4 linked regions of the Lonchura striata genome follow. The main gene of each other region encodes a partner of the protein of the gene in region 2 in a complex. Links are inferred from orthologs where the notes say so. Each region holds a gene or a part of one and is shown on either strand. Other genes may lie near its edges. The genes, in order: CCNT1, SART3, USP4 and USP15.

Region 1 (6,896 bases), on a different chromosome or scaffold from region 2:
GCCTCCTGAGACTGGGACTGACCCCCTCCCTGCACCCCAGGACTGGGGTGATAATGGGCCTTCCCATACTCAGACAAGATTGACTCCCCTCCCTGAACCGTTGTGGTTCTGGGACTGATCCTACTCCCTGGGATTGGGGTGACCATGGGATGGGAACTGTCTCTTCCCCTACTCCCTGGGATTAGGATGGCTGTGGGGCTGGAACCAAGCCCTTCCTTCCATCCTGAGACCAAAACTGACCCTTCCCTGCCCCCCAGAACTGGGGCAGTCATGGGACAGGGACCAGTCCAGGGCCAGGACCAACCCCGTCCCCACACCCTGACTTGAAGGTGGCCACAGGGCTGGGAGCAACCCTTTCCTTGCATGCCAGCACTGGGGTGACCATGGGGCTGGGACCAACCCCCACCCCACACTGTGCTGCTGGGGCAGCTGTGGGGTCCTGTGGCAGCTCCCAGCTGGGTGTGTGCCCACAGGCAACGGGTGAGAAAGAGGAGATGGAGGAGCTCCAGGCCTACAACCGGCGGCTGCTGCACAACATCCTGCCCAAGGACGTGGCCGCGCACTTTCTGGCACGGGAGCGGCGCAACGACGAACTCTACTACCAGTCCTGCGAGTGCGTGGCCGTCATGTTCGCCTCCATCAGCAACTTCTCTGAGTTCTATGTGGAGCTGGAAGCCAACAACGAGGGTGTGGAGTGTCTGCGGCTGCTCAACGAGATCATCGCCGACTTCGATGAGGTGCTGGGGCAGAGAAGGGGCAAGGGGGTGCATAGGGGTGAAGTGCACAGGGGTGGGGTGCAGTGGGCAGGGTTCGTGTGGTGCTGGAGAGGCTGTGGGGCAGCAGGGATGAGGCTGTGGTCCAGGGAATGTGGTCACAGGGTGCTGGAAAGGCAGTGGAGCAGTGGGGATGAGGTACAGGATGTATGTCATCCTTGGAGAAGGCATGGAGCAGCTTTCATGGAGCCACAGGAATGGATGCAGAGGCTGTAGAGCACTGTGGATAGAGTGCACAAGGATGAAGTACAGGAAGATGGGGTGTTGGAGAGGCTGTGCAACAGCAGATTTGGGGAAAGGGTGCAGGAGATGGAGTGCATGGGGTGCAGGAGAGGCTGTGGAGCACCATGAATGAGGTGCAGATGGGATGCACAAGATATAGAGAGCCTGCAGAGCACCATATTTGGACAGGGCGCAGGAGATGGTGTGCAGGGGGTGCTGGAGGGGCTGTGGAGCACCATGGAGGAGGCAGGGGATGTCATGGGGTGCTGGAGAGGCTGTGGAGCAGCATTTGTGGAGCCGCAGTGCAGGGTGCAGGAGGTGCTGGAAAACCCACGGAACAGCATTCACGGAGCCATGGGACGGGGTTGGGGTACCCTGTTGAGGTGCTGCGGGGGTGAGCCCAGCCTGTCCTCCCAGATCATCAGCGAGCAGAAGTACCGGCAGCTGGAGAAGATCAAGACCATTGGCAGCACCTACATGGCGGCATCGGGGCTCAACGCGGCCACCTACGACCGCGAGGGCCGGAGCCACATCGCGGCACTGGCCGACTACGCCATGCACCTCATGGAGCAGATGAAGTACATCAACGAGCACTCCTTCAACAACTTCCAGATGAAGATTGGTGAGCCCTTGCACACCCCTTGCACACGCCCCTCTGCACCTCCAGCCATCCCACACTGTTGTTCATGGCTTTGTGCTGGCGGCTCTTGCACCCCTTTTTTCCTCTCTCCCAATCACCTCTTCTTTTTCTCTTTCATACCCCATTTTCCTCTCTCACACCCCTTTTCTTTTTGCACCCCCTTTTCTCCCCTCCTGTCCTTTTTCCCCTCTTGTACCCCCTGTTCCCTCCCTCACCCCATCTTCCCCTCTCACCTGCCCTTTCCCCTCACCCCTCCTTCCAATCTCTCCCTCCTTTTCCAATTTCACCCACCACCCCTTCTTTTGCCCCCCTCACCTCTCTTTCACCCTTTTCCCCTCTCATCTCCCCTTTCCCCATCACCTCCTCTTTTCCCCCTCCACATTCCTCTTTTCCATGTCACTCTCTCCTTTTCCAAACTCACCCCCTCACTCCTCTTTTCCCCTTCCCTCTTCCCCAAGTGTGGGGGGTTCATCCCTGACTCTCAACCATGTACCCCCAGGCCTGAACATGGGCCCAGTGGTCGCAGGGGTCATCGGGGCTCGCAAGCCCCAGTACGACATTTGGGGCAACACCGTCAACGTCTCGAGCCGCATGGACAGCACTGGGGTCCCCGACCGCATCCAGGTGAGTCAGGGGTGGGAGGGACACAGGACACCTGCCCAGAGACCCCCCCTCCAGGTCTCCCCCTTTACCCCTGTGTCCCCCCTCCAGGTGACAACAGACTTGTACCAGGTGCTGGCTGCCAAGGGCTACGTGTTGGAGTGCCGGGGGCTGGTCAAGGTCAAGGGCAAGGGGGAGATGACCACCTACTTCCTCAATGCGGGCCCTGGGGGTAGTTAGGGGGGTCCCCATGGTGTCCCCCCCATGCCGGGGACACCCCCAGCCTGTGCCGAGCTCAGGCGAAAAAAAAAAGGAAAAATCCCCAAATACACATATTTAAAAAAAAAAAGGGAGAAATGGACACAAGGAGGTGGTTGGGGGGCGTGGGGAAGTAACCCTGTGCCCCCCTCTGTGGCTGTTTTAGGGGGTGTTTCCCAGCCCTGCACCGGGGTGTTTTTTGTGGGTGGGGGTCACGGTAACCCCCATCCCTTTGCAGAAACCCCACATGTGCCAAAGAGGGGAGATGGGGCCCCCCAGAAAAGGGACTGCGGGGGTTTTGGGGGCAGGGGGTCCCCAGCCCCCTCCATGTGCCAAATTGAAGTGCCGCCTGCGGGGGTGGGGAGGCGCAGGCCCAGCATCTCCGCAGCCCCCTCACCCCCCGGGGGTCCCAGCTCCCTCCGGGGGGACTGTGGCGGGGAGGGGGGGGAGGGTGGAAGACCCTCCCCCTTTTAAATGCAAAAAAAAAAAAAAACCCTAATGAAGTGACTTTTTTTCTTTTTTTTTTTTTTTTTTTTGAAGCAGTTTTGGGGTTGGGGGGGGGGCTCAGCCCGGGGGGAGTGGGGGGAGCACTCGCCCCCTCATCCCAGCACAGACCTGAGGTACTTTGTCCTTCGTGTGTACAGATAAATTATATATAAAACACTTTGGATACGAGCTGTGGCCTGGCTTGTGGGGCAGGGGGGCACACGGGGCTGCCGGTTGGGAGGGGGCCCGGGATCCTAAGAGGGGAAAACACCGAGACCCAGTGAGGAGGGGTCCCGGTGGGCGACACAGCGGAGTCCCGGTGGGGAGGGGAGGGTCCCGGCAAGGGAAAGAGGGTGGAAAATCGGTTGAGGGGGGAGTACAGGCAACGTCTTGGGGTGCGGGGGGCTGCGGGACCCCGGGAAAACCGGATCTTGGAGGGGTGGGGGGATCCCGCTGCTCCGTGATCCCGGGGGAGTGGCGGGGGTGGGGGGGACATACCGGAGGGGTCCATTGAGGTGCCGGTGAGGAGGGTGGAGTGCCACACCGGTATGCCGGGGTTCCTCGGGTGTCAGTGCGTAGAAGAGGGAGCCGAGGAGCTGGCGGTGGGGCCACAGGGGCCGCCCTAAGGTGCGGGGGCGTTGCGGGACCCCCCGAAAAACCGGAGCCCCTCACGGCGTGAGGGGAAGCGCGGCGGGGCGGGGCGGGGCCAGCCGTGAGGGGCGTGACCATTCCGCGAGGGGCGTGGTCAACCAATGAGGGGCGTGGGCTCTCTCAGGCCCCGCCCCTCCAACGTCCCTCCCTGCTTTGGAACGCTCGCGCCGCCAACGGCTCCCCCCCGCGCCCGCCCACCCGCCGCTTGACGTCATCGCGTCGCCGCGCTGCGTGCGCACGCCGCGTCCCCCGCGCGGGCGCAGAGCCGCCATGGAGGCCTCGGCGGGCGGCGGCGGCGGCGCCGGGCCCGGGCGGCGCTGGTACTTCAGCCGCGAGCAGCTGGAGCGGAGCCCATCCCGCCGCGCCGGCCTCGACCCCGACAAGGAGCTCTCGTACCGGCAGCAGGCGGCCAACCTGCTGCAAGACATGGGGCAGCGCCTCAACGTGTATCCGGCCCGCGCTAGGCCGCGCTAGGCCGCGGGTGGGAGCGGGGCGGGGCGGGGAGAGACGGGAGGGAGTGAGGGAGAGCCGGGAGGGGGTGAGGGGAGAACCGGGAGTGGGAAGAGCCGGGAGGGAGTGAGGGAGAGCCGGGAGGGGGTGAGGAGAGACCCGGGAGTGGAGGGAGCCGGGAGGGGGTGAGGGGAGGGCCGGGTCTTGTGAGGATCGAGGAGAGCGCGGCCCCGGCTCGGGGAGATCGCTGCTGGGGTGTCGGGAAGGCCCGGCCCGGCTCTCGGGGCGGGGAAAAGCCGCTTTTCCCGTTTTTGGCTCGGGAAATGGCGTTTCGGGCGCAGGGAAAGCTGTGCTGGCGTGTTGGAGAGGCTCGGGCAGGCCTGGCCGGCCCGGGAGAGGGGAGAGCTGTGCCGGGGTGCTTGGAAGGGAGCGGCAGGCCCGTCCGGGTGAGCCGTGCCCGCGTTGGGATCGAGGAGATTCTGGGAGCGGGGAGAGTCGAGCCCGTTTCGAGGTGGTGGAGATCCCGTTTCACGGGCAGGGAAAGCTGTGCTGGTGAGTCGGGAAGCCCCGGCCTAGGAGTGGGGAGAGCCTAGCCTCTTTTAGGATTGAGGAAATCCCAAAACGAGGGAGTGGGAAAAGCTGTGCTGGGGTGTTGTGAATGCTCGTCCCACAAGTGGCCAGGAAAGCCGAGCCTGTTTTAGGACCAAGGAGATCCCAAAAAGGATTTTGGGACCAAGGAGAGCCGTGCCAGGTTGTCAGGAAGGCTCGTCTGGGGAGCAGGGAGAGCAGAGCCTGTTTGGGGTCGAGGAGATCCCATTTTGGGAGCAGCGAGAGCTCTCCTGGCATGTTGTGAAGGCTCAGCTGGGTTGTGGAGCGCGGTGAGCCTGTTTTGGGCTTGAGGAGAGCTGTGCTGGGGTGCAGGGAGGGCCTGTCCTGTCCTGGTGCTGTTGGCATGTGGGGTCTGTCCCAGTGGCTCCCCTGGGCCTGTCTGGGGGTCTCTGTGCCTTTCCTTAACCCCGTTCCCAGCTCCCAGCTCACCATCAACACAGCCATCGTGTACATGCACCGCTTCTACATGGTGCAGTCCTTCACCCAGTTCCACAGGAATGTAAGTGCTGGGATTTGGGGTGCGGTGGGGTGCTGGGAACCCCCAGACCCACTCCTGCTGCTGCCTGGGAGGGGGACCCACCTTGGGAAGAGGTTTGGGAAGGGAGAGGGACCCTTTTGTCTCTCCTGGTGGTGGCCAGATTTGAACAGCCTTCATTCCCTGAAGGAATATTGAGAATCCACCTGGTTTGTTTGTTTTAATCTTGAATTTAGTGGCTTTTTAAGCAAACAGAGTGTTTTCCTCCACAGTCGGTGGTGCCAGCAGCGCTTTTCCTGGCAGCCAAGGTGGAAGAGCAGCCTCGGAAGCTGGAGCACGTCATCAAGGTGGCACATGCCTGTCTGCACCCCCAGGAGCCTCTGCTGGACACCAAGAGTGAGGTAAATGTGGGGAGGGAGCCTCAGGGTGTGCTGTAAGCGCTGGAGGCCCGAGGAGCAGGAATGGCACCTGGGATCCACCCTCCCGGGGTGCTCAGGGGCAGCTTCTCCATCCAGCTTCTCCTGCAGCAGAGAGATTTGGGCTTCCCCCCTTGTGTGCAAAGCCTCTTCTCTGCTGCACACCTGGATGCAGATGTGCTGTTTGCCTGTGTCCCTGGAGCACTGCCCAGGAGGGTGTGGAGCAGAGGAGCTCCACTGTGGGAGCAGTTTGTCCCAGCATCTGTCTCAGTGGGTTAAAAACGTTGCTGAGCCCTCATCTCTTCAGACAGCCCCTTTTACTTGCAGCTGAGCAGCGAGTCCTGCTGGAAGGGGCAGCTTTTTCCAGGGAATCCTACAGAAAATTAAAAAACAGCAGGAAAAGCGGGTGATTCCTGCACTGCTCGTGTGCTACCCTAGGAGTGTGGGGGACCAGCACCCAGGGCCCACCCAAACACTCTGATCCCTCTGTCTTAGAATCTCCAGATGGTTTGGGTTGGAAGGACCTTAAATCCCATCCCATTCCACCCACCTGCCACGGGCAGGGTCATTTTCCACTCGCCCAGCTTGCTCTGAGCTCCATCCAGCCTGGCCTCAAACATTTCCAGGGAATCTGTGCCAGTCCCCCCGTGCAGGGAGATTCCCATTTTTGCCCTGGAGAGAAGGGTGTTAGGAATGTGCAGGCTTGATCCGAGTGCCTCTCCATGAGTAACCTGCCTGTCCTCTCAACCCCAGGCTTACCTGCAACAAGCCCAAGACCTGGTCATTCTAGAGAGCATAATCCTACAGACCCTGGGTAAGTTCCTCGAAGCGGCCGGACTGCCACACCAATCCCAGAGCCAGGAGAATTCCACAGGCTGGAGAGCCTCACCCCTTCCACAGAGTCCACACAGCAAACCCCGTTTTTCAGCTCGACTCCTGTTTTAACATCAATTTTTCAGGTGTAACTTGTGCCAGGCTCAGTGCTGAGAGATTTAAGTGTGGTTTGTCACTTTGATTTTTTTTTTTCCCCTAAAAAAACCAGGATTTGTGCTGCTTTGGACACTGGCCCTTGTCCTGGGTTGTGCTTTCCAGCTCAATCATAGAATCATGGAATGGTTTGGGTTTGAAGGGACTTTAAAGACCATCCAGTTCCAGGCCATAATGCTCCAGTTCTGTTGCAGGAAGCAGTTTGTACTGAGAGATGTCTTAAAAAATTGGGTTAGAAGTGAATATTTTGATCAAATAATTCATTGGGGGAAAGTCCCCAGAACTCAAGAAACCAGGAGCATTTTCTGGGTGTTTCTGGAAGTAGGAGT
Region 2 (7,627 bases):
TTTGGGGATTGTATTTATGCTGCTGGTTCAGCAGCAGCAGCCCCAGTTTCCTTCTGAATGGTGTCACTCCTGTGGTTTTGCTGACAGGGACTGGCCCTGCCTGTCACCTCTGCCACACAAACCACAGTAGGGATGCACCAAGATGCCTGAACAGCAAATTCCTGTTTCCTGAGCTGGGACCACAGAGCTGTCACACTCTGGAATAATTCAGATTAAAGCAGCTCCTCCTACTCCTCTTTCCAAACTCCTGAACTTCCCTGATCAGCAACTCCTGAAGCAGCTGAGTCCTGCAGGTGAAGGAGAGGTGGGAGAACAGCACTGAGTGCCTGGCACCATTCCCACCAACTCCAAATTCCATTTTGGGACCCCCAGGTTGGGACTGCCCTGGGTTCCAGAAGTGCCTCCAAACCCCAGATGAAGTCCAGCAGATCCAGAGGATAATTCCTCACTTCTTCACCTCCATTCCTTCCTCCTCAGGGATCACCAATACCAGGTAATGTCACTGATGTGACATTCCGTACGCAACTTTTGGGGGGGATTTACCTCCGTATTCCCTCCACTTCTTCAGGCTTCATTTTTCCAGCTCTTTACCCCAATTCCCAAAGAGCTCAGGGATTTATCCCCAAAATTTTAAGCTACAGCATCTCCTGAGAAATAGAGAGACCAGACATCACATCCTTCCTTTGCATCACTCCACATTCAGAGTTTAGAAATTAATTTGAAATTTTGACCCAATTTCTTTGTTACAACAGAAGCAATAGATTTCCCTACAAAACCAAATCTGGATGCAACAAAACCCATTTTAAAACATTTTTTTTGATGACTTACAGATGTAATCTTTGACAGCTCTTTCAAACAGCTCATAAACCTTCTCTCTCTCAGAGATCTCTGAAGCCATTTTTATCTCATCCTTCAGCCAGTCCAGCCAAATTTCTGGAAGGAAAAAAAAATTAAAGAAGATCATTAATATTCAGAAATAACACGTTATACCCACTTGATGAGTTTTTAGCAAAACAATTAAAACAAAGGAGGGGAAGTAAGGCAAAGAGAGGAATTTTAGCCTCCACAATTCCAAATTAATTTCAGATAAAAGGCAGAAAGCTTTTAAATTGGTGCTGAACAAGCACATTTTTACTAAAGAGAAAAGCTGGAATTTCTCAGGACTTAGAAAATCATCCCATTCCATCCCCTGCCATGGGCAGTGACAACTTCCACTATCCCAGGGTTGATCCAAGCCCTGTCCAGCCTGGCCTGGGACATTTCCAGAGATCCAAGAACAGCCACAACTTCTCCAAGCAACTTCTGCCAGGGCCTCCCCATCCCTTTCCAAGAATAAAACCCCACAGCCCCTGCAATAAAACAAAAATCCCCACTTCAAGCACCCGCAATTTCCACCAGCAGGGAATTTTCTTTGCTGCCTGCCTAAGAAATTTTGACCAGGAGTTTGCTGAGCTCTGGATCACATCCCCCTGGAGCGAGGGTGCTGAAAATTTGGCTTGAATATTTTATTTCACTGCTGAAGCATCTTGCACGGGTGATGCTTCACCTGCAGGGAGCAGAGGATGCTCTGTACCTTCAGTGAGGGGGAAGAGCTCGCTCATCTTCTGCCGAGCTCTGCGCAGCTTCACCAGCTCTCCCTCCTGCCGGAGCAGCTTGATCAGATCCAAGTGACAGTTGTAGTCAAAAGCATTGATGGAAAGCTTTAACAAACAACAACAAAAAATTTAAAAGCCCTGTTGAGTGATGGACGTGAAAAAGTCAGAAAATAAATCACACAATTCTCGTGGTGTGATCACAGAGCCAGGCAAGGCAGAGTTCCTCATGTGAAAAATGCACATTTTATGATTGGCTTTTCGCAAATGCTACAATGAATATTATACGTGTAACGTCAGAAAGTTATGCTGTATTAATTCTATTAATTCTCTTAAGTAGTGTGTTAAATGTAGCTTTAAGTTACAACATAAATTCTGCGATGTAGGACTTGTTACAAGCTCAAGCAGGAAGATGAGATAATCAAGAAATTCTTCACACGGAGATGTCAGTGAAGAGGGCCCATAAAAAGATACAGCCTCCTTAACAGAAAAAACAAACATTCTTCCACCTTCTCTCCGTCTTTGTGGAACCAACAGGATTAAGGAGAAGTTGACAAAAACCAAAAGAGTTCGTAATTTGCAAGGAATTTATGCATCATGTATGAGAAATATGAATACACAACAGGCTGTTGCTTTTAAGGTTATTCCTTTGTTCACAAGGGATGCTTTTCGTGACTTAGTGACCGAGAGCATCTGGATGTCCGTAATTCTTTGCTTTTTATTGTCTTGCAATTGTCCTAACTCTAAACTTTATTACTCTAATTGTATTACTATTTTCATAAACATTTTATTATTATTAAACTTTCAAAACTTTAAAATTGGCGTTTTTCACACTCAGATTTAACCTAACCCCAGACATAGCCCCGGCCGCTCCCTCGGCCACTGCTCAAAGAGAGAATTGCGCTTTCATTTCTTTAAAGGCAATAAAAAAACGCGGGCAGCCGGCTCACATTTCTGAATGAACACGAACTGCCTACTCCACTTCCCTCTTATTTCCCTTCCAAAAAAAAAAAAAAAAAGAAGAATCTCAAGCTGCTCAACTCCCATCTAGGACTCCAGACATTCACGGCGTTAAATCACCGGATATCCCGACCTGGAAGAAACCCACAAGGAGCAGAAAAATTCACACCCTGACACCAAACCGCCCGGGCGGACACGGATTATCCCCGTTCCCGCCACACCCGCTGCCCCGCCGGGCCCACCTGCTCCTCCAGCCGCTGGATCTCGGCCTCGTTCTCCTTCTCCTCATCCTCGCCGTCCCCAGACGAGTCCGAGTCGCCCTCATCATCCGAGTCCCCGCCCGACTCGGGGTCTCCCTCCGGCAGCCGCTTCTCCTCCTCGGCCGCCGCCTCAGCTCCCGCCGCCGCCATCTTATGCAGCTCCGCTCGCCGCCCGCCGCGCTCCGCCGCCCGCCGCGGCTGCCCCCGCGCCGCCCGTCCCGCAGTTCCGCCCCACCGCCGGCCGAACCGGGCGGGAAGAACCGGGATCCTCAGCCCGACACCAGCCCCGCACTGGCCCGCGCACCGGGGCAGCGCTGCGCCGAGTGCGGCCACGGCTCGACCCTTTGTCTTCTGCTCCGCGGCGCAGGCAGCACCGCGGGCACCCCGCTGTGTGGCCATCAGGGGGCCTCCGGGAGGGTCCGTGGCGTGCGCGGCGCGGCCGGCCCGCCATGTTGAGTGTGGCGCCGCGTGCGCACAGCCGCCGCCGTCTGTCGCGATGGGAACCCTGGCGCGACTGCAACGCCGTTTCTGTCGTTTATTTATTGACTGATCACCTTAGCCACAGCGCGGCCGCCAGCGCTCCCGCCGCCTGCGTGGCCAACGCATGACCGGGGGGAGACGCGAGCTCCGGAGGCGAGGGGGCGTGGCCTGGGCGAGACCTGAGGGCGTGGCCAGCCCGCCCGAGGTTATAAAAGGGCGGCGCCACCGCCCCGCCCCTCAGTGAAGATGGCGGCGCTGAGGGCGGCGGGAGCGGCGCTGCTGCGGCCCCGGCCCGGGCCGGCCCCGGCCGCGCTGGGCTACCACAAGAAGGTGAGGGGCGAGCGTGACACGGGGAGGGATGGGGGAAGCGCGGGGCGAGCCTGTCTGACGCTGTGTCTTTGCAGGTGGTGGATCACTACGAGAACCCGCGCAACGTCGGCTCCCTCGACAGCAATGCCAAGAACGTGGGCACCGGCCTGGTGGGCGCCCCGGCCTGCGGCGACGTCATGAAGCTACAGGTGACCTTGGGGACCCGGTGGCACCTGGGTGGGGTCACATGGGGCTGTTTCGAGGGTCAGAGCTCCCCTCAGGGGACAGCACGGGCTTCCCTCATGCCCACCCTGTGCCCGGGGCAGGGCCAGCCCCGCTCCCCGCGGGCCCGGCTGGGAACACCTGGCTGAGCTGAACCGGGCACTGACTTGTCCCCAAAACGCTCCCGCAGGTGGAAGTGGACGAGAATGGCAAGATCGTGGATGCCCGCTTCAAAACCTTCGGCTGCGGCTCAGCCATCGCCTCCAGCTCGCTGGCCACGGAGTGGGTCAAAGGGAAAACGGTGAGGGAGCTCCGGGAAAGCTGCAGAGCTTCCCACGTGCTGTGTTTTCTGTTGGGATCATGTAGGAAGTGCTCTCCAGGGAATCCCTGCATTACTCTGTGCTGTAGAAGTGACTGCCAGCACTGTCAGGGCTTCACTTGTAGGGCAATAATTGTCTTTTTCAACAACCATCAGAGAACCATTAAGGTTGGAAAAGCCCTCTATAGCAACATCAAGTCCAACCTTTCCCCAGCAGCTCCACTCCTGAGCACGTGCCCAAGTAAACAATTCCACCAGGAAATTATCTTCTGTCTTATGCAATGAGCAAAACCAGGCTGATGGCAGAAATTTTAGTTACGGAGAACCTTTAGATCATTTCTGCCAGCAGTAAATGCACCTCAGTGTTTTGGTAGAGGATGAACAGACTTGAAACAGGCCAAGTGGGGACAGTGTGTGACACTGATATGTCAGTCAGACATTCCTTAATTCCCACATCCCTCACTGCCCTGGGCAGCTGAGCTGATGTCCCCTGTGGATTCTGCTGGCTCTGGAGCATTAAACCTTCTTAGCAAACACAAACAAGGCCCATGACCACCTCTGCCTGTGTTTCAGGTTGATGAAGCGCTGAAAATCAAGAACACAGATATTGCCAAGGAACTCTGCCTTCCCCCTGTCAAACTGCACTGCTCCAGTAAGTAAAAACCCTGGATCTCAGATACTCTGGAAATAGCACAGATGCTTCTGGATGCTGTTTTCCAAACAGTTTCTGCACAACGTTGTCCTTAAGAGAAAACATGTTCAGATTTCAGCGTTAATTCAAGAATTTTCAGATCACTTTGATATATTGGAGTCTGTGGTTCAGCAGACTGATAATAAACAATCAGATTCTGAATTACACTATTGAAATTGGAGGAATTCAGTATTTTAGGAATTCCATTCAGATTCTACTCCTCAAATCAGCCTGTGCTGCTGGTCTTGCCTGCTTTTGTTTCTACTTCATCTTTTGTTTTAAAAGCTTTTGAGTTCTCCTTAAAATCCTTTTTTTTTTGCTTTGCAGTGCTGGCTGAAGACGCCATCAAGGCTGCCTTGGCCGATTACAAACTGAAGCAGGATCCAAACAGAGAATCCGACAAAAAAGCCGACAATGCCTGAACCGCCTGCGCAGCTTCCCCTCCTCCCTCCTCACTCTGCAGTGCAATTCCCGAGCTGTTGTAGGACCCTGTGCACTACTCAAGCTGTAAGATACGCACAAGTTACGCACAACGTGTCCCTGTGGTGTCCAGCCACCCCGTAGTGCTCACATGGATGGGGGCTCCCATCCCGTTGGGAATGCCGCGGGAAGACTCCGCTCCGGAGACAAAACCCCGCTGTCCGGTACTGGAAGGGCTGCACTTTCAATTTTTGTTTTGGGAAGATGTTTAGTTTTGCCTAATATTTGATGGAATTTAGTGGGAAGCGTTGCCCTGGTCTGGATGTGTGTGTGAGAGCTGTGTGGCCGCCCCTGGCTCCGGCTGTGTCAGGGTTGGTTTCGCAATCCGGGGGCAAATTCCTGCTCTTGGAATTCTGGGAACCTTTGCAGGTGCCAAAGGGAAAAGTGACCAGGAGACACTGGTGGTCTCTGCTCCCATCCTGTCGCCACTTAATTTTTGAAGCTCTTGTTTGAGGAACTGAGCCTGAATTTTGGGGTGTTTTCTCTTAAGAATTTCACTTCTTCACTCACTCTTACAGCTGTAAACCCTTGGCTAGAGGAAGGTGTCCCTGCCCAAGGAAGGGGTTTGCAACTGGATGACCTTTAAGATCCCTTCCTACCCAAACCACTCCAAGATTCTCTAAGGAGACTGGAAGCTCGGTGGGGAATAGCAGAGCTGGAATGCAGAGCTGATGGGGAGCTCCCAGAGTTCCTCTTTTCTGGAGGAGTATTTCCAAACCAAGCAGACAACACATTGGCAGACTTCACTTTTTAACCTTCTAACCCACAACAAGACACCTCACTTCCCATTTTTCATGCCGAGGGTGTTGTTAAACATTTAAAACCACACTTTAAAAAAAAAAAAGTCTCATTCTGCTCTGTCTGGGCACAATATTTGTAATTTTTAACACAGAGGTCACACATTGCTGTATGTCATTCACAAGGTCCCTCTTGTGATTCCTCAGCTGGCACCCTCCAGCAGCGAGGAATGTGCCTCTCCCTCATGGAACAATCCTGCTATTGCCCAGTTAAAAACAAAATCAGGGAAACTTCACACATTCACGTCTGCTTTGGGGCAAAACCCGCTCTTTGTGCTGGCACTCTCTTCCCAAGGGAAGGTTGTCCTGAGGCAAGGACATAATGGGATAAAACCCAGGGATACAGGAGGTTCAGGGATACAGGGACGTGCTGCTTTTGAGGCAGCACAGCTTCACTCACCTTGCAGGTCTCCCTGCTGTTCCCACTGCAGCAGCTGCACCCCAGGGCCACGGCTGAGTCCCCACAGCCCCTCCTCAGCCCACAGCTGTGGGTGCGAGATAAAGGTTTCCTGGAAGGGCACGTGATGTGCTGATGTGGGGACTGATAACACCCTGCCCAGGGCTCCAGTGCCCCTGGAGTGCAATCCAGCTGTGCCCCTGGAGGAGCACAAGGACACAGGGACGGTCCCCTGGCCACCCCACGGCTGCAGAGACACACAGGAGAGGAGCTGTGCGGAGGAAATGTTTATTTCTAGCTGAAAGGTTCAGGAAGTGAGGCAAAAATCCAGCTGGGCTCTGGGGTGGAAAGAAGGGTCCTTGTCCTAAATCCTCATCCCTCTTTCCCTTGGGTGGCCATGGGCAAAGCTGACCCATGTCCTACAGACCCCCAGCCCTGGTCCCATCCCTTCTCCCAGAGGGACTCGGCTCCCAGCCAGGAGCCTGGCATGGACCAGGCTGTTGCTGCTGATTGAAATAACATTTGGGAGGAAGCTGGTGGCACAGTGGGGGCAGAGCTGCAGCTGGGGGGATGCACACACCCCCAGTGCCTGGGGTGGGAGAAGCCCCTTGGGCAGCAGGAGCTGGGGCTGATGGCGTTCCAGTGCTGGGGAAAACCACCAGCTGGCAAATCCCCCCCCACGAGCATCCCATCAGCACCAGGGTCGGGGGAGCTGGGAGGGAATGGGATCTTCATCGGGGCTTCCTTGAGCCACCACGTACGTACGGAGCCTGACCCACCGTGTCCATCATGAGTCCCAAGCCAGCAGCTCCTCAGGCTTGCCCGGGACTGTGTCCCTGCCTCAGATTCCAGAGGGAGCCTGGCAGCCATCCTGGGATGCATCAGGCATCTCCTTGCTTCCTGCGCTCGCCACTTCCTCCACGCCTGGACTTTGAGCAGGGGGCTTGGCTTGCTCATCCCCCAACTTCTTCCCTTCCTCCTCTTCCTCCTTCTCCTCCTCCTGAGGGGAATTCTGTTCGGCCTGGGCCCCGTTGGCCAGCGGTGCCTTGTGGGGGGATTTGAGGTTCTGGGCAGCAGCCAGGATGTCCGCCTGGAGCTGCCGGCCGCTGTCCAGCGGCTC
Region 3 (7,901 bases), on a different chromosome or scaffold from region 2:
ATCCAGGACGACATTGAGTTGCTTCTGCAGAAGGTTGCCTAGAAAGTTGTGTGCCTTTTGTCCTTGCTGTGCACCTGGTTGTTTTTCTTTCAGGGAGCTGCTGCTTTGGCAGAAATCCCAATGTCTCGTGCAGATTTTGCTTGTGATGGTGCATCTTCCAAATCCTTGAAGTGTGCTTGATGTTCTCAAAAGTTGCACGGGAATGTTTGGGAAGGTATGTCAGGGCAAGCAGCTGTGGGTCTCAGTAGTTCACTGTGATTCTCTGAATAAAAAAATGTGTACTTTCTTTAAGACTGTGACTTGATATATCTGGGTGAGTTGGGTAAAACGTGGTGGGTCTGTTACCTGTTCCTCAGCCCATGTGGGTGCTCACAGGGGCAGACTTGGAGCACTCGAGCATGGCTGTGCAGTCAGGCTGAACTAAACCGAGGGCATGAGCTCTGCAAGCTGAATCAGTACCGTGTCCTGCCCCATGTGTAACAAGCCTGGCAGAGCAGGAGGGTGGCAGGAACAAACAGACCTTGCCCCACTGCTCACTGGACCTCCCATAAGGCTTCCACACAGAGGGAGCACGCTGGCACGTGGCCAGGGGTTGATTTTACACTGGCTGAATTCCAGTGTGGCTATCAACAGGCCACAACAGGATAATAACTGCTAGGGCAGGGAGATGAGCGATTCTGCAGCTTGGGGGGACCCAGACCAGGAGCAGCACCCACTGTCCCTCCCCTTGTCCCAGAGCCACTGCCCCCTCACTGGCTTTACCCCATTTTGCACCAGTGGTGGCCCACCACAGATTCTCACATGCCTGCCCAGTCCTCCATGAGGCCTGAAGCACCTTTGTGCATCCCCAGCACCTCACGATGCATGGAATCATGTGACAAACCAGTTTGTCCATGTTCCCAGTGCAATACCACCCCATTCAACACTTGGCCCATGGGAACTGTGCCTTGCCTCAGAGTGTCCTTGTTTCCCTTTGGGCAGGGGAATTGTATATGACACTCCCTAGTGCAAATGTGCCAGGAAATATTTCCTTTTTCTTTTCATTTCTTCCATAACAGTTTTTGAACTCCTGCCAACCATGGAGCTGAGAAGTACTTCATGAGAAATTGCTACAATTATACCAAATGATCTTGGAGGTCTTTCCTAATCTTAATGATTCTATGATTCAGTAATTCTGACATATTGGCCCTGCTCAGCAATCATGGTTTTACAGGCTGCTGTTAAATGACTGGAATTATGATTAGTTTCCCATGGGAAATCATGAGACTGTGCCAAATTTCACCTGCCATCCTGCCCAGTCACTCAACTGTTTCTACAGGAAAATTTTCACTCCTTCAATTGCTCTGTGAGCACATTTTCATTGCAAGCCACTCCTCACAAGGCCTTGTAGCACTGCATATAAACTTGGTGTGGGACTGAGGAGTCCTAACCCAGACTAAAAACTTGGGCTGTCCAAGGGAAGGCATAACACTTTCAAGCATTCATGCACTGTTTTCATAATAAAAACACTCAGGATTTGAGGGTTTGCTTGGTTTTTTGTGTTTTGTTTTGTTTCTTTTTTTCTTGTTTGTAGCTTTTCACTTCACAAATTCACAGTGGCTTTGTTACTGTACCTATATCCAAGGATCCCTTAAGGTTGAACAGAGACTGGGTAAACCTTCCAACCAGCACCACCCTGCTTGCTGCTACCCCCTGAGTCATTGAGCTTTGAACTGAGATTGCACAATCCTCACCGGGGGATTTCTAAAATTCCAGAACAGCTTCACAGAAAAAAACAGGATGTTTTCAGCAGCTACTGAAGCTTTGCAGCAGATGATGCATGATGTAGGGGATTATTTTTTCAGTTAGTTCTACTTCCCTCATTAAAGCAGGATGTTGAAATAGGTGGAGAGTACAGGGGATCATGAGCAGAAGAAACCTAGGGCACTGAAAATCTTTCTTAACGTGAGCTGTGGTACTTCCTCATTCCTGACTCACCAAGCCTGAGTGTTTGAGTGGGGCCTCCTCTGTTCCTAACCAGCCTCTGGCTCTGGCCAAGGCCCACAGCTACAGGGAGCAGAGCCCAACACCTGCTGCAGCTCCATTATGCCAAAAAAGGTCTCTCAGCAAGCCTGCTGGTCAGAAAGAAACCTTGCACCATGCTAATTCTGTGCCTATGGCCAAGGGATTTCTTTACCTCTGACTGCTGGGACCGTGCTAGCAGCATACCAAAGCAATAGGTCAAGAACAGTCCCAGCTATGCCAGAAGCAGTACAGTGACATGATTTCAGGACAAAAGTGAACCATGCCAGCAGGAAAATGAACAATCCCAGTGTAGGCACACCAGCAGGAACTCTGCAGCGTGGCTGAAAGCTGCCCAGCCTTGTTATTCCCAGTCTCATTTCAGCATTCCCTGGAGCAGCTGGCTCTGGGGTCCAGTGGGCTGCAGCAGAAGGCACTGGCTGGAGCTTCCTGGCAGTGACAAGGACAGTGGAGCACGGTCGCCACACAGGGTCTCACACCCAAACCTTGGCTGGTGTTGTGCTGAGAGGAGGTGAACATTTCACCACAGGCAGCAGCTCTGTGCTGAGGGGAGGCATGAAGAATCCCAGGCAATTCCTCAGGGATTATAAATCAACCCATTTTTATTTCTGTAATTCCAGAGAGAAACAGACTGACTCAGAGGGCAGCCTTAAAATAAATACTACTTTAGCACAATTGGCTGCTTCTGTGGCATGAGGATGTTGTCCTTTCAACATCTCCCGTCTGTCACATACACACTCCTACATTACACTTTAATTGCAAACACTTAATCCCTCTGTTAGTCTTCCTGTTTTTCCATTCTTCTGCACATCAAAGTTTCATACATTCTCTCCTTCCTAGAAAGTGTTTGTCCCCTACTTGTCCCTCCTCCCAGTGATTCTTTCTCCCATTAGCTGTTGATAGTTGCCACCAACTTCTTAAATACTTCAACAAGTTCAAATATTTGAAGCTGTCAGGAGTGTTAACTAGTTCCAAGAAAAATTATCCTTCCTGGTCCTTTCCCCGTCTCCCAGATTCCCTAGTGTTCTGCCCACCAAACCCTGGGCTATCTGCTGAAATCCTGGCTGATGAGAAGTGTCTACTCAACAGAAGTGCCATCAGTCTGAGTCTGAGATCTTTCTTCTTCAGCCTGTACAACGTTCTTTCAGCTATTTAAATTCCCTTTCTCCTGGGCAGCTTTCAGTCACTGTGCTTGATCATTGCCATCATAAGGCAGGCTGGGAACACCTGCCTCCAGTCCTGTGGTACTTGAGGGAGTTTTGCTTCTGTCAGTGCCACTTTCACACCCAACAGAATGAGCTGGAGATCAGGGCAGAAGTCAAGGGCTGAAAGTGCTTGAGGAGCCAGGAGAACACAGACACCTCTGTCTACAATAAAACTGGAACAATGTAATTTTCTTGCACTGAATCAGAAAGGCCTGAATTAAACAATTTAATTGTTTACCACACTTTCTATGAGGAGTCAGAAATTCATTAGCAGAGTGAGGTCAGCCACACAAGCACTATCTCAGAATAGCTGACTCATTTTAAAAACACACCCAGCCTTGCCATAATAGGGTGTGTTAGAGCCCCAAGGGGCCCTGCCCTCGGAGAAAAACTACAGTAACAACACTCAACTCATACTGGAAGGAGAAAATGGTCCTTTCAGTGTTAACTGAATGGACTTGCCCTGCTGTCAGGAAGATAAAAGGCCTTTATCACATTACCCTGGTTGCTGCAGCAGCGCCAGGCTGGCAGAGCCCACCTGCCCATGGTGCTGCCAGAACGCTCCTGGCACAGGCAGTCACAGCTCCCCCACATCACCCCTGCCTTTTTTACACATAAAGGGATTTCTTTGGTATGTTATGGACAAATTCAATTGGGGAGGCCAATTATAGATAAATCAATTAATGAGAATTGTTAACAAGAATTAAGTTAACAAGAATTAAGCAAGCGGCATCACAGCACCCCCACATGACCCCTGCCCTTTTTACACATAAAGTAAAGGGATTTCTTTGGTACATCCATTTAAGGCAAATTGTTTTTTAATTCTTCCCAAGACCCCTCCCTCTCAAGGACAGGCTCCCTGACAGCACAGGACATGCTGCTCGAGGGATCAATGCCAGTATCTCCTGGAGCAGTTCTCTCCTGAGACACCACCCAAACCCCTGTGCACAGTCGCTCATACACACCCGTTCTCCCGTTCATTCCTGTAACGATTTGAAGTCCAAGGCCTTCGTCAGTGTGCTCCACGTGAGAAAATGGAGCGTCTAAAACTGAAACCACAGTCCAACCAAATGGTTCTGCCACCTGTTTTGTCCGAGAGAGAAAAATACAATTTTTTTGAAGAATTAAACGTTTCAGTGTGGGTTCGATCTTCACTGAGCCATAATTCAGGGAGGAGATTCTTGCTGAGAAAGTGAAGTACACAGTGTCTGAAGCCCAGAGCAGCGGGCTGGCAGCAGCCACCCAGGGCAGGTTTGGGGAGGGCTGGGCTGGTGCTGCTGCAGAGGCGGAAGGGAGCGAAGCGTTCCCAGAAATGCTTTTAGCTGAGGATTTAAAGAGGCTGGCCCGGACGCCCTCTCGACTACGAAGCCCCCTTGGGACGAGGTCCATGCCCGCGGGGGGAGTGCCCCGCTCCCCGGGCTCCCCCTGCAGGCCCGTAGGGACGCTCAGCGCAGCGGGCGCCCCACGCCCTGAGCGCCCTCACGGTGCCGCCGCAAGATGGCGGCCGCCGCCATAGCGCGCGCGGCCCCGCCCACCTCGTCACGGCGCGCGCGCGGGCGGGGCGGGCCCCTCTCACTCGCCCGGCGCGTGCCCGCCCGCGCGCTCGCGCGCGCTCCGACCTCCGCCCGCGCCGGGTCTCGCGCACGGACATGGCGGCGGCCGCGGCCGGCGGGGAGCGGGCCCGGCCGGACCCGGCGGAGCAGCGGGCCGAGCTGGGGCCGCTCCTGGCCACGGCCCTCCGGCCCGGCGAGTCCTGGTGAGCTCACCCGCGCCTCCCCTCCCTCCCCGTCCCCCTCCCCTGCGGGCGGCGGGGCCTGCGGGCCGGGCCGCGCCGCCGCTGAGGGGCCGCGCCGGGCGGTGCCGTGTGTTGCAGGTACCTGGTGGAGAGCCGGTGGTTCAAGCAGTGGAAGAAGTATGTGGGCTTCGACAACTGGGACATGTTCGGCGCCGGCGATCCCAACCTCTTCCCGGGTCCCGTCGACAACGCTGGCTTATTCCCGGGGCCCATCGACAACTCGGGCCTGTTCGGCGGTGAGTGCTCGGGCAACGGGCCGGGCCCGGCTCGGCCGCGGAACTTCCCCGCGCTGCTTTCGGTTTCGGGCGCTGCAGGGGACAGGCGGCCGCGCCGCCCCGAACGCGGGGGGACTGGCCGGGCTCTGCCTCCCTTGGAGCGCTGGCGTTCCTTGGTTCCTGGCAGTGCATGTGTGAGTCTGGAGAGGAAAAGGTGATGTTTGATGCCCTGCTCTCTGCCGTCTGTCTCCTTTTTAGATCCACAAACTCAGAGTTTGAAAGAACACCTAATTGATGAGCTGGATTACGTGCTGGTGCCCACCGAAGCCTGGAACAAACTAGTAGCGTGGTATGGCTGTATAGACGGCCAGCAGCCTATTGTGAGGAAAGTAAGTACTGCTGAATCAACTTCTCCTCCTCTTGGTTTCGTTTTTTGATCTCCCTTGAGCTTAAACGATTTATTTCGCCAAATATCAGCTAAGATGGGATTCTCACTAGCTCTTTGGAGATAATAAAGTGATATCTTTTTGCCTTGTCTGAAAGAACAATTTGCCTGTATTTCAGCCAAAATGCTTGAATATTCAGGGGTTCTGAGTTGATGGTTTATTTGGGGAAAGAACGCTGAACCTTGTTCAGGTTATGAGTCTTTGGACTAATACGGTGCTTTTATATTGCATGGAATAGTTTGTACTTTGTGAACAAGTGTAAGTTGTTGGTCAAACTAGTTTATCTTCCAGGACGGAATGAGTCTTCGAGTACAGATGAATTTAGGGGCTTCCTCTGGAGTGTAAGGTGATTTTTGTTTTCTCTTCCAAAATTGTGTGATTCTAAAATCTTTATAAAGAGATGGATATATGGTTTTGTTCTGTAAGTCATATTTTGGTTGATAAACATAGTCAGATATGCATTCTGAATACATAACCTGTTCTGCAGGGTGAAATTGGCAAGTGTTTGTTTTTGGTTTTTTTCTTGGTTGGTTGGTTTTTTGGAATGTGTATAGGTAAAAGTTTTTTTGCTTTTATTTTAATTTTAGCCAATTGTACTGACTAAATTGAGCAATGCCAGTCTGTGGGATTCATTAAAAAACTAATCACTACCCCAAGTGTTGTTATAATGTACAGGATTAACATCACTTATGTTTAAGCAGCACTATGTTATAAGTAAGGATTACTTCAAGGTGTGCAAGACCTAGCAAAGTGTGGCATCAGAAGGGAAGTAAAATCAGGAAGTGCTGGAACGTTGTCATTCAGTGTGGGCTATAAACTGTGTGTTGTAAGAAATTCTGATGTCTTCAGGACTGGTGAGTTAACCCAGGATCACCAGGTTACCTCAGGTTGACTCAGTAGACAGAACTCCCATGGAAGCAGGAACTAGGAGAGGAGAAAACAATTATAGCATGTAAAGGAGATGTGGTTTTAGAGAAACAGGTAACATCTTGAGGAATTGCAAGTCTGTGTTGAGAGGGAGAACTGGTACTGCTAGTGATCAGTGCCTCTCCAAGTGAGGGAGCTTTCCTTGGTGAGCTGGCTGATTGCTTTCATGAAACCTGGCACACTCCCTCTGAAAATTTGAAAGTTGACAAGAGACTTGGGAGCTATCAGGGAAACACTTGGGCTTAACTGCGTGAGCCTTCTTTGTTGTGATATCTGATGCTGCTTTCAGTGGTGCAGTGACCAAGGGGGTAGAGCTCAGACCTTGTGCTGGTTTACAGACCTAACGTGCCAGACTATTCTGGGTCTAGTTAAGAGTAAATTTTTCAAATTTTGAATTGTTGTGAAACTGTCAGTCTCTGCTGTTAACCTGGTAACTGTATGGGGTTTTTATATGTAAGAAGATGCTAAAATATAGCAGAATAGTAGGTTTGTGGGATGTTACAGCCTCTTGCAAAAATCCAGTAGGTCAGTGAGACACAGAAGCTGCACTGCTGCACCTGAGTAGGATGTGGGCAGGATCTGGTTACGGTGTTCCCCAGATAGCATTAGAAGTCAAGCACTTAAACTTGTGGTCCTTGAGTGCTTTAAGATTTTCCTAAAGCTGCATCAGCTGTAATTCATGTATTAAAATATCCATAAAAGTAGGATCTGGGAAACGATTTTCAGGCATCTTTATGGTTTTATAAGATATTTCTTCCATCCCTATGTTTGATGATCAGAGGCAAGTACAGGAGGATTAGACTAGATTTATTTGTGGTTCAGGTTTCTTTTGACAGTCTCAAACCATATTTTTGGGCAGTCATCTATAGAGTCCTATGGGAAGGTTTATTATGTGCTTCCTTAGCAGCAGAGTTGTGCTGAGATTGCTGTCCAGTGGCATGACATGAGTTATACTTTGGCAGAGAACAAGGAAGCTGGTCAGATGCAGTTTAAAAGACATCTGCAGGTGATTAGAGACTCCTTTCCTCTGTCCTAATGGACACAATGATCTGATCAGGAACTTCTTGGAAAGAGTTCTTTTTATTTCTGAACATGGCTCTTGTTTGTTTCTAACTACAGAATACTGGAGAACAGGAAGTCAAGTTTAGTGACATTTATTCTGAAAAATGAAAGGAAAACTTTTGTCTTGGTTTCTTTTCTTAAAAAGAAGTCTGCTCGTCAAGAAGCTGTTTAAACAGGGGGCTTTACTTTCTGTTGTAATAGCAAAGTACTGAAGATCTTTCCAAATGTG
Region 4 (6,964 bases), on a different chromosome or scaffold from region 2:
GTCTGAAACAGGAGTTTATGGCTGCGTTCAGCCTCTGTGAATGAGGTAGGTGAGGCACAGACTGGATTAGAAACAGGATTCAAACCTACAGTGCAGTCATAGTTTTATGTCTGGGGCAGAAATGGGTATCTTAACTACATGCTATTTCTCCATCTATGAGACTGTCAAATTTATACTGCATTTTTCTTCTCTTTAAGAAGTGTATATTGTTATTTGCTTCTTTCCATCATTCAACTCATGCTTTCTTGGGCACCCCTAATTTTGTTACCTACTGCATTTTTGTTCCTGTATCTTCCCATGTCACCCTGATTCTTAAGACTTTCTAAAGCCTTCTTAGTTTACATTCTGTTGGAGAACTTTCCCACACAATTTCTGTAAACAACATATCGTTTACATTCTTTGATGGGGATGGAGAAACTTGATGTACTAGTGGTTTGTCCAATGTCTTTGGAGAGGTGGCCCATTCAGTCTCCAATCCAATGTCACCTTTGGGAAAATATAAAAGTCGGAGTCGGAGAATAAACTTTCTTCTTTACCTTGCAAATAGCAGGTGGCTCGCGTCGTGCTTTCACGTGTCCTATAGCGACATCCCCTCATGTTTACCTTACAGAAGCCCTGCTTTGTCTTGTTTAACTTTAGTCTACAGTTATTTCTGCTTTCTTGGGTGTTTAATTGAACTGTTTAAAGGAGGCTTGAAATTCCATCACTATTTAAAAATTACCAACTTCCATATAGGAAAAAAAAACGGATAGGGAACAAAACCAGCAGGTGGTGGCACTAGTAGTTGACTTTTTGCTCCACTTTGAATCCACAAAAATATATTCAGCTAATTAAATTAGCTCTATGAAGGTTTCCATTCAGATTTCTCAACCAAAAGTCAAATTATCTATGTTTTCCTAATGGTATGTGTGAACACTGCATTGAAAATACACTCATCGTATCTATTCTAGTATGTCAAACTCTGTGTCTGATGCAGCTTCCAACTGAAAAGGAAACTCACACAGCTACCAGTAGCTGTAAGCTCAACACAGACCACAGGGGAGGGGAATCTGAAGCTCTCATTTCCTCCTCCACAAATTCCCAAATGTGGTGTAGGTGGTTGTCCCAGTTCTCACCAGGACTGGGTTCATCTTACAGCAGGGAGGGGCATGGCCAGGACACAGGGTTTATACACTGCCACCTCACATCCTTGCCAGTGGTGGGGAAAGGAAACCTCTTCCTGGGACAAGGAGTATCAGGTCTGGCCAGCTCAGGGAGGCAGAGGGAGCAGTCGTGTGGCGCTGGCTCTGAGCTGGAGTGGTAGTGGTGGTGTGGCTGTGGCCAGGTCAAGCTCATGGTCAGCAGTTTTGCATGTGAGTCACTCTCTCTCTTTTGAACACTTCTGTTATTAACACTATTGCTGTTACTGTCCATTTTCTTAGCTCATTGCTGTTTCCAGTAAATTGTTCTTACCTCAACCATGATCTTCACCTTTTGGGCTTCCAATTCTTCTTTCCAGTCACGCTGCAGGAGAGATGGGGGAGTGGAAGGGAGAGCAAGTGAGCAGCATGTGGTTTGGAGTCACAGTGGGAGCACTAAACTTAGGAGTACCATGCTTAAACTATGGCAGTGGTTTTGAAAGTAAATAAAAAGTGGTGAAGTGAATTATTCTGTATTAAGCTGTGAATGAGACTTGCAGCTGTCTGTTATTTTTACAGAATTTATTGTGTACAGAAGTTTCTACTATTGAGATGCAGAGCTTCTCACATCGCCAAAAACCAAGCCATATTCTAAGATTTGTTAGCCAAGTCCTCTAATTTACTTGAAAACAAGAACTGAGAGTTTAAACTTCATGTTGTATTGGGAATCAATAGAATCATCAGTTTAGACATTTTGTTATCTGCAGCCCACTTGCTGAATCTGTGCTGCTATACACTGTATTAATTGCATCCTTTTTTAAGATCAAGGTTTAGAGCCACAAAAACCATGTTTACAAAAATTCATCCATTAGCAAGGAAGTCAGGCAAGGTGGAAGGCCTACTGATAGCTGGAAGGCGTGCCACCTCAGCTAGCTTTACAATATTCTGCATTCACTTCTATCACAAGCAGTAAGATATAAATCTGTATTAAAAATGCCTGGGTTTTATTAGAGAAGGTAGGTCATTCATCACAAGTTGCAGTGCTGTTTCTATTTACTAGGTGGTTTAAAATTTAAAGATTCTCAGGCACTGTCTAGGACTTGGAAATAATTCCTTGCCCACTGATAAAAGCTTTAAAAAAAACCCCAGATTTAATACTAACATTTATTTTCCAAGAATGTGAGTTAAGTTTCAGATACTGTTCAATTATGAAAAAGAATTGTTTCACATGAAGCACTGGTAATCCTAGAAAGAGTCTTACTCTTGTCTCTCCTTGGCAATTCTTAAAGCACTGCTTCAAATGGTATATGGTATGCTTTGCTGTCCCTATTTGTAGCACCTAATACCTGTCTAGTATCCGTTTCTGTACCACAAATAGATTGAACTCAGGAATCTGAGATCTTTTACTGAGTAACTGCAGTTCTGCAACACAATGCACAGACGCATGGGTGGCTCTAGGTGAACCTTCAGGCAAATTAAACTGTTGATGGTCCTGCTACACCCTGATGAACAATGAAGATGTTTTCCAGCACCGTGAATTGAGAAATATTTACCCAAATTTCCATGAAAATATAATTTCTGTATAAATTCAATTTTGGAACACAGATAACTTTCAGAGTGTAAAACACTATTCTTACCTGTTAAACCCTGGCGTGGGGTGGGAACTTGTCAAAGTTGTTTCTAAACTTGGAGATTATAACCAAGAAATTTATTCCTGAAGTGGCTGGAAACCTTCTTGTTGTTCAGTTAAGTTTTCTTTCATTAAATGTAGTCATTAGATCCACACCTTTCCCTAACATTTATGTTTTACTTCCTTCCCCCTCCTCCTCCTTCGGTATTTCACATTCCAGCTCCTGGAGAAGCCATGAATGTTATTGCCAGTCGCTCTGAACTCCTGGGAGTTCTTATATATTCAGTATGATTTTCGTATTATAATTTTGCCTTTATTTCCATATCATCATCCTCACGGATAATCCTAATAAAACTTACTTAGCTTTGTACTACCATGTCTGCGTAACAGCTTTCTATTTGTTTTGCAGTGCACATATCTAAATAGCACCTTTTAGTGCTGCTTGTAACAGCTGCATGCTACTATGTGCTAATTAGCTAATAATGCCTAATGCATTAACTGGCAGCCTGAGGTACGGTGCTGGTGTTCGTCACACAATGCGGCTGGCTGTAAAGACTTGGGCACAGGAAAGGCCGCAGGTATCCAGCTGCGGGAATTGCACTTTCACTAGCTAGATCTAAAAGAACAAACTCTCGTATCCAGGTGTTTGTAACCAGCACCCCAGCCCTAAATTCCCACACCATTTTGAGTCTTTGAAATCTCTATACAAACGGGAAGACAGAGAGAACCTGGTTATGTAACGTAATATGTGGATATGTGGCCTTTTTTTTTTTTTTTTTTTTTTTTTTTGGCGTGTGTGTGAAACGCCAAGCAACAGGTTGCGCTGTTTGTACAAGGTTCCGGCAAGAGCGACTGAAACAAACAAAGAAATTATCCCTTGGTTTGTGCGAAGGTCTGGAAAAGCTAATACGAGTCACACAGACGATTTGAACCCGCCACTGCATTTGCACAACAGCACAGAGGTATCAGCATATGATTTACGCTGACCCAAACCACTCATCCGGCAGCGAGGCGCAAGGGACCTAGTTGCGCACCCAGCGCTCCAATTAAGGCGCTGAGGGAAATGCCGCCCGCCCGTCCCTCCCGGGCTGGGGGGGACGGGACCGGGGGCGGGACGTGAGACCTCCCGGCCGCGAGGGGGCGCTGCCCCGCCCGGGCCCGCTCCGGCCCCCGCCCCGCGGCTTCTGGGAAGGGCGGGGCCGCGGCCGGTCCCTGCAGGCGTCACTCCCAGCATGCAGCGCGGCGCGCTCCTGCCCCTGCCGCCGCTGCCGCTGCCGGGCGGAGAAGATGGCGGAGGGAGGTGCGGCGGATCTGGAGACCCAGCGCACGGACGTCGCGGCGCTGCTCAAAACCGCCCTCCGCAAGGGCGACACCTGGTGAGGGAGGAGCGGGGGGGCTCGGGCGGACCGGCGCGGGCGGCGTCCCTCCGCCCCCGGGACCGCTTGGCTGCCGGAGGGACCGACCTCCTTCCCCTCGCCCCCCCCCAGGCGCTCCCGGGGGCGGCTCGGCGTCTGTGCCGCTGCCGCGGCAGAGGAGGCGGGCGGCAGGGGCAGGGAGGCAGAGCGGTACCGCCGCTGCCCGCCGCTCGGTTCCCGCAGCTCCTGCCAGGCGGGAGCGGCCGCCTGGGTGCGGCGGGGCCTCGGCCTGGCCCGGGCGGCGGGCAGGCACCGAGGTCAGCGCCCCGAGCGGAGGGCAGGGAGGGAGCGGCGCGGCTGCCGGGGCGCGCTGCCGGGTGGCAGCCCCGGATGGCGGGCCCGGAGCCCGCACGGGGCTTGTTTTGGCTGCGCGAGGAGTATTGAGGTGGGGGAGAAGAGCTCTGCTAGCAGGCGCTTCTTCCATTATCCAGGCTGAAATGGCCCCGGCTTCACCTTCACGTTATCAGAAATATCTTTGCTTTGGCCTAGGTGCCTTGTGCCCGTCCGTGGCTGTGACAAGCCTTGAGTTTAAATTTTACTGTGACTGGAATCGTGTTCATTTCCTAAGAAAGAGTCCCTGAGGGTGCAAACGGACCCTTATGATACCTTTTCAACAACGAACGTTTGAAAAATATGTTTTTCTGGTCAGTCTTGAAATATTCCTTAGTATGTCATACAGATTGTCAACAGAATAATCCACCGTAAAATAAGCACCTCTTTTTGGCGTGTATTTGGTAATTGGGCTTCTATAGTTGTAGTTCTATGAGGTTAGGAAATGGGGCTTTTTTTTTAGGAGGGGAGAAAATAAGGAACTGACACTTTTTCCACGACTCAATCTCTTCATCACATCCTGTGTGAAACTATCACCCAAAGACAAAGGTTGAAGCATTAACTTACAGAAAATTAACTATGAATACACAGAAGTAGAACTAGCCCGCCTCATTTCAGCTGTCATCACTCACTGTTCCAGTTCTATAAAAGACTATATTTAACAGTGTTGATACTGCAGCGTGTGTCAGAAGCATAAATTCTGATGCATTATTCAAATACTGCTGAGTATATGTTCAGTTTTGGCATAGGAGCACACTGCTCTTGAAACTGGAAAAAAAAGCTAGTAAAAGGAAATGAATTCACATAGTATTGTTGAAAATGACCAGCAGTAGTAAAAGCGTGCTCAGGCTTGATGTCTTTCAAGACTATTTTTTTAGGGTTCTATTAGGTAATTCCCAGTTACTAAAACAATGTTTCAAGCAATTAATACTCTTCAAAGTGATAGTATTTTTATGACTAGTTGACAGCATGACCGAAACAGTAAGTTTACTGTGCCGTTTACTTTTTTTAGTATTGATATTTTAATATAGAAGAATCAGTTATGTGGGAAAAGCTTCTAAATGTTCTGTGGAAGTATATCTAGCTGTGATTGACACTGATATAAGTCAAGTGTTTCAAAGCTGAATAAGCTGCAGCAGAGTCCCATTAAGTTTTACTCTTGAACTGTTAAATCGAGCTACATAAACGTTTATGCTTGTGCATTCGTAGGATTTATATTTTGACTGTGCAGCTATCTTTACAAATTAAATGGTAGGTTTAGTCCCAATGCTTTTATAGAGGTGTTTTGTAAATGGCTTTTTGATCTTTTGGGACATCAGTAAGGAAACAACAGTTAAGGTGCTGTAAATCATGGTTCAAAATTGCATTGATTTAGTAGTAAATACCGCTGAAAAAAATTTCAGGAGTGCTATACCAGCTTGTTCTGTTTGTGCTTTAAAACACTCAAATGCAGTCCTTTTAAAATGCTGGTTTGTACATGGAAAGTCTTTTCCATGCTCTTCAGAATTTAGAATGGGGAGAACAAAAAGCTACATATGGAAAGTATAAAGCTTTGGGGGTTTTCTCTTAAGAAAAAAGCAGCTAAAGAATAGGGCTAAAGAGAGGTAAATCTTAGAAGCATCTGTGAAGTAGCTGATAAATTTCCTTGTAAAGTTCTTCATGTACATTGCAGAGACAAAGAGATAAATTTGAGTTGAAATGCAACATTTTTAGAGTTAGATATTGGAGGAAGAATTGCTAGAGCTAGAAACCAGTTGAGCAGGTGGTTTAGTAAGCTGTGGAGTTTGTTACATTAGATGTTTTTAAGGGTAGCTTGGGAATAGTATGCATTAAGCTGTATTGCTTCAGTGGACAGACAAGGTTAGTGTCTTTTAACTGCTTCAGCTTCAGGGGCAAGATTTTGGGCTAGTTTGTCCCAGTGGTCTTTTTTGCATTCTTTATGGCCAGTTAATAAATTATTAAATTCTAAGAGTTTGAGGATTCTTCTATCTCTCCATTTAGCCTACTTTTCCAAACATACATTAAATAAACATCAGATTTTTCAGATTTTTCCTTTGTTCATCAGTTCTTTTGAATAATGTTGTCTACTTTTGTTAGTAAAGTCAGTATGAAAACTACAGTTTTGTTCTACAGAACTTGAAGTAATATAATTTTTACTTCTTACAATATTGTCCAAAGGATCTTCAGGTTCTGTGATTCTTTTGTTTTAAGAAAAGACAAAATGCTGCATTTCATTGTATGTCTCACAGTTTTAGGATCTGATACAATTACATCTCAGTATTTTGAAATTCTACTGGTGCTTGACAAGTGAGGAGAATTTATTGTCTGAGGAGATTTTATCTTCTCATTTAGAATGACAAAAAATATTGGTTGTTATAGCTGCAGGCAAATTTGAACTCACTAGATGTCTTCTGCTCTCAACTTGAAGAGCTGTTGATGTTCATCAGATTTTTAGGCACAGTATAATTTCT

Evidence for each region.
Region 1: SART3 (region 2) and CCNT1 share a complex: the UniProt entries of both Homo sapiens proteins name them as parts of the 7SK snRNP complex. The link is inferred for Lonchura striata from reciprocal best matches to the Homo sapiens genes SART3 and CCNT1.
Region 3: the proteins of SART3 (region 2) and USP4 are in contact, whole or in part, in a crystal structure (PDB 5CTR), measured with the Homo sapiens proteins. The link is inferred for Lonchura striata from reciprocal best matches to the Homo sapiens genes SART3 and USP4. Residues at the interface, in NP_055521.1 of Homo sapiens: Asp437, Ser438, Ser439, Lys440, Gln490, Arg493, Glu494, Trp496, Asp497, Met500, Thr501, Ala505, Trp511, Tyr514, Lys529, Arg533, Cys537; in NP_003354.2 of Homo sapiens: Met24, Thr27, Leu28, Ser53, Trp54, Glu123, Gly125, Leu126, Phe127, Val128, Lys129, His130, Cys131, Lys132.
Region 4: the proteins of SART3 (region 2) and USP15 are in contact, whole or in part, in a crystal structure (PDB 5JJW), measured with the Homo sapiens proteins. The link is inferred for Lonchura striata from reciprocal best matches to the Homo sapiens genes SART3 and USP15. Residues at the interface, in NP_055521.1 of Homo sapiens: Ser438, Ser439, Lys440, Glu443, Gln490, Arg493, Glu494, Trp496, Asp497, Met500, Thr501, Ala505, Trp511, Tyr514, Arg533, Cys537; in NP_001239007.1 of Homo sapiens: Ser23, Leu24, Asp48, Trp50, Gly121, Met122, Phe123, Val124, Lys125, His126, Lys128.

The regions. Positions count from the first base shown.
Region 1 is NC_134629.1:6,118,675-6,125,570, forward strand, and holds the start of CCNT1 (cyclin-T1), read left to right. Parts: upstream 1-3,890; 5' UTR 3,891-3,900; coding exon 3,901-4,076; intron 4,077-5,106; coding exon 5,107-5,188; intron 5,189-5,436; coding exon 5,437-5,565; intron 5,566-6,333; coding exon 6,334-6,394; intron 6,395-6,896. Other genes in the region: ADCY6 (adenylate cyclase type 6), read left to right, coding at 474-737, 1,413-1,617, 2,135-2,259, 2,347-2,475. UniProt on the Homo sapiens protein: Regulatory subunit of the cyclin-dependent kinase pair (CDK9/cyclin-T1) complex, also called positive transcription elongation factor B (P-TEFb), which facilitates the transition from abortive to productive elongation by phosphorylating the CTD (C-terminal domain) of the large subunit of RNA polymerase II (RNA Pol II).
Region 2 is NC_134620.1:11,419,830-11,427,456, reverse strand, and holds the start of SART3 (spliceosome associated factor 3, U4/U6 recycling protein), read right to left. Parts: upstream 3,010-7,627; 5' UTR 2,963-3,009; coding exon 2,795-2,962; intron 1,701-2,794; coding exon 1,574-1,700; intron 934-1,573; coding exon 829-933; intron 1-828. Other genes in the region: iron-sulfur cluster assembly enzyme ISCU, read left to right, coding at 3,539-3,622, 3,697-3,810, 4,014-4,124, 4,716-4,794, 5,161-5,255. UniProt on the Homo sapiens protein: U6 snRNP-binding protein that functions as a recycling factor of the splicing machinery. Promotes the initial reassembly of U4 and U6 snRNPs following their ejection from the spliceosome during its maturation.
Region 3 is NC_134614.1:10,434,051-10,441,951, forward strand, and holds the start of USP4 (ubiquitin carboxyl-terminal hydrolase 4), read left to right. Parts: upstream 1-4,888; 5' UTR 4,889-4,983; intron 4,984-5,100; 5' UTR 5,101-5,164; coding exon 5,165-5,258; intron 5,259-5,495; coding exon 5,496-5,626; intron 5,627-7,901.
Region 4 is NC_134607.1:42,076,344-42,083,307, forward strand, and holds the start of USP15 (ubiquitin carboxyl-terminal hydrolase 15), read left to right. Parts: upstream 1-3,951; 5' UTR 3,952-4,035; coding exon 4,036-4,124; intron 4,125-6,964. UniProt on the Homo sapiens protein: Hydrolase that removes conjugated ubiquitin from target proteins and regulates various pathways such as the TGF-beta receptor signaling, NF-kappa-B and RNF41/NRDP1-PRKN pathways.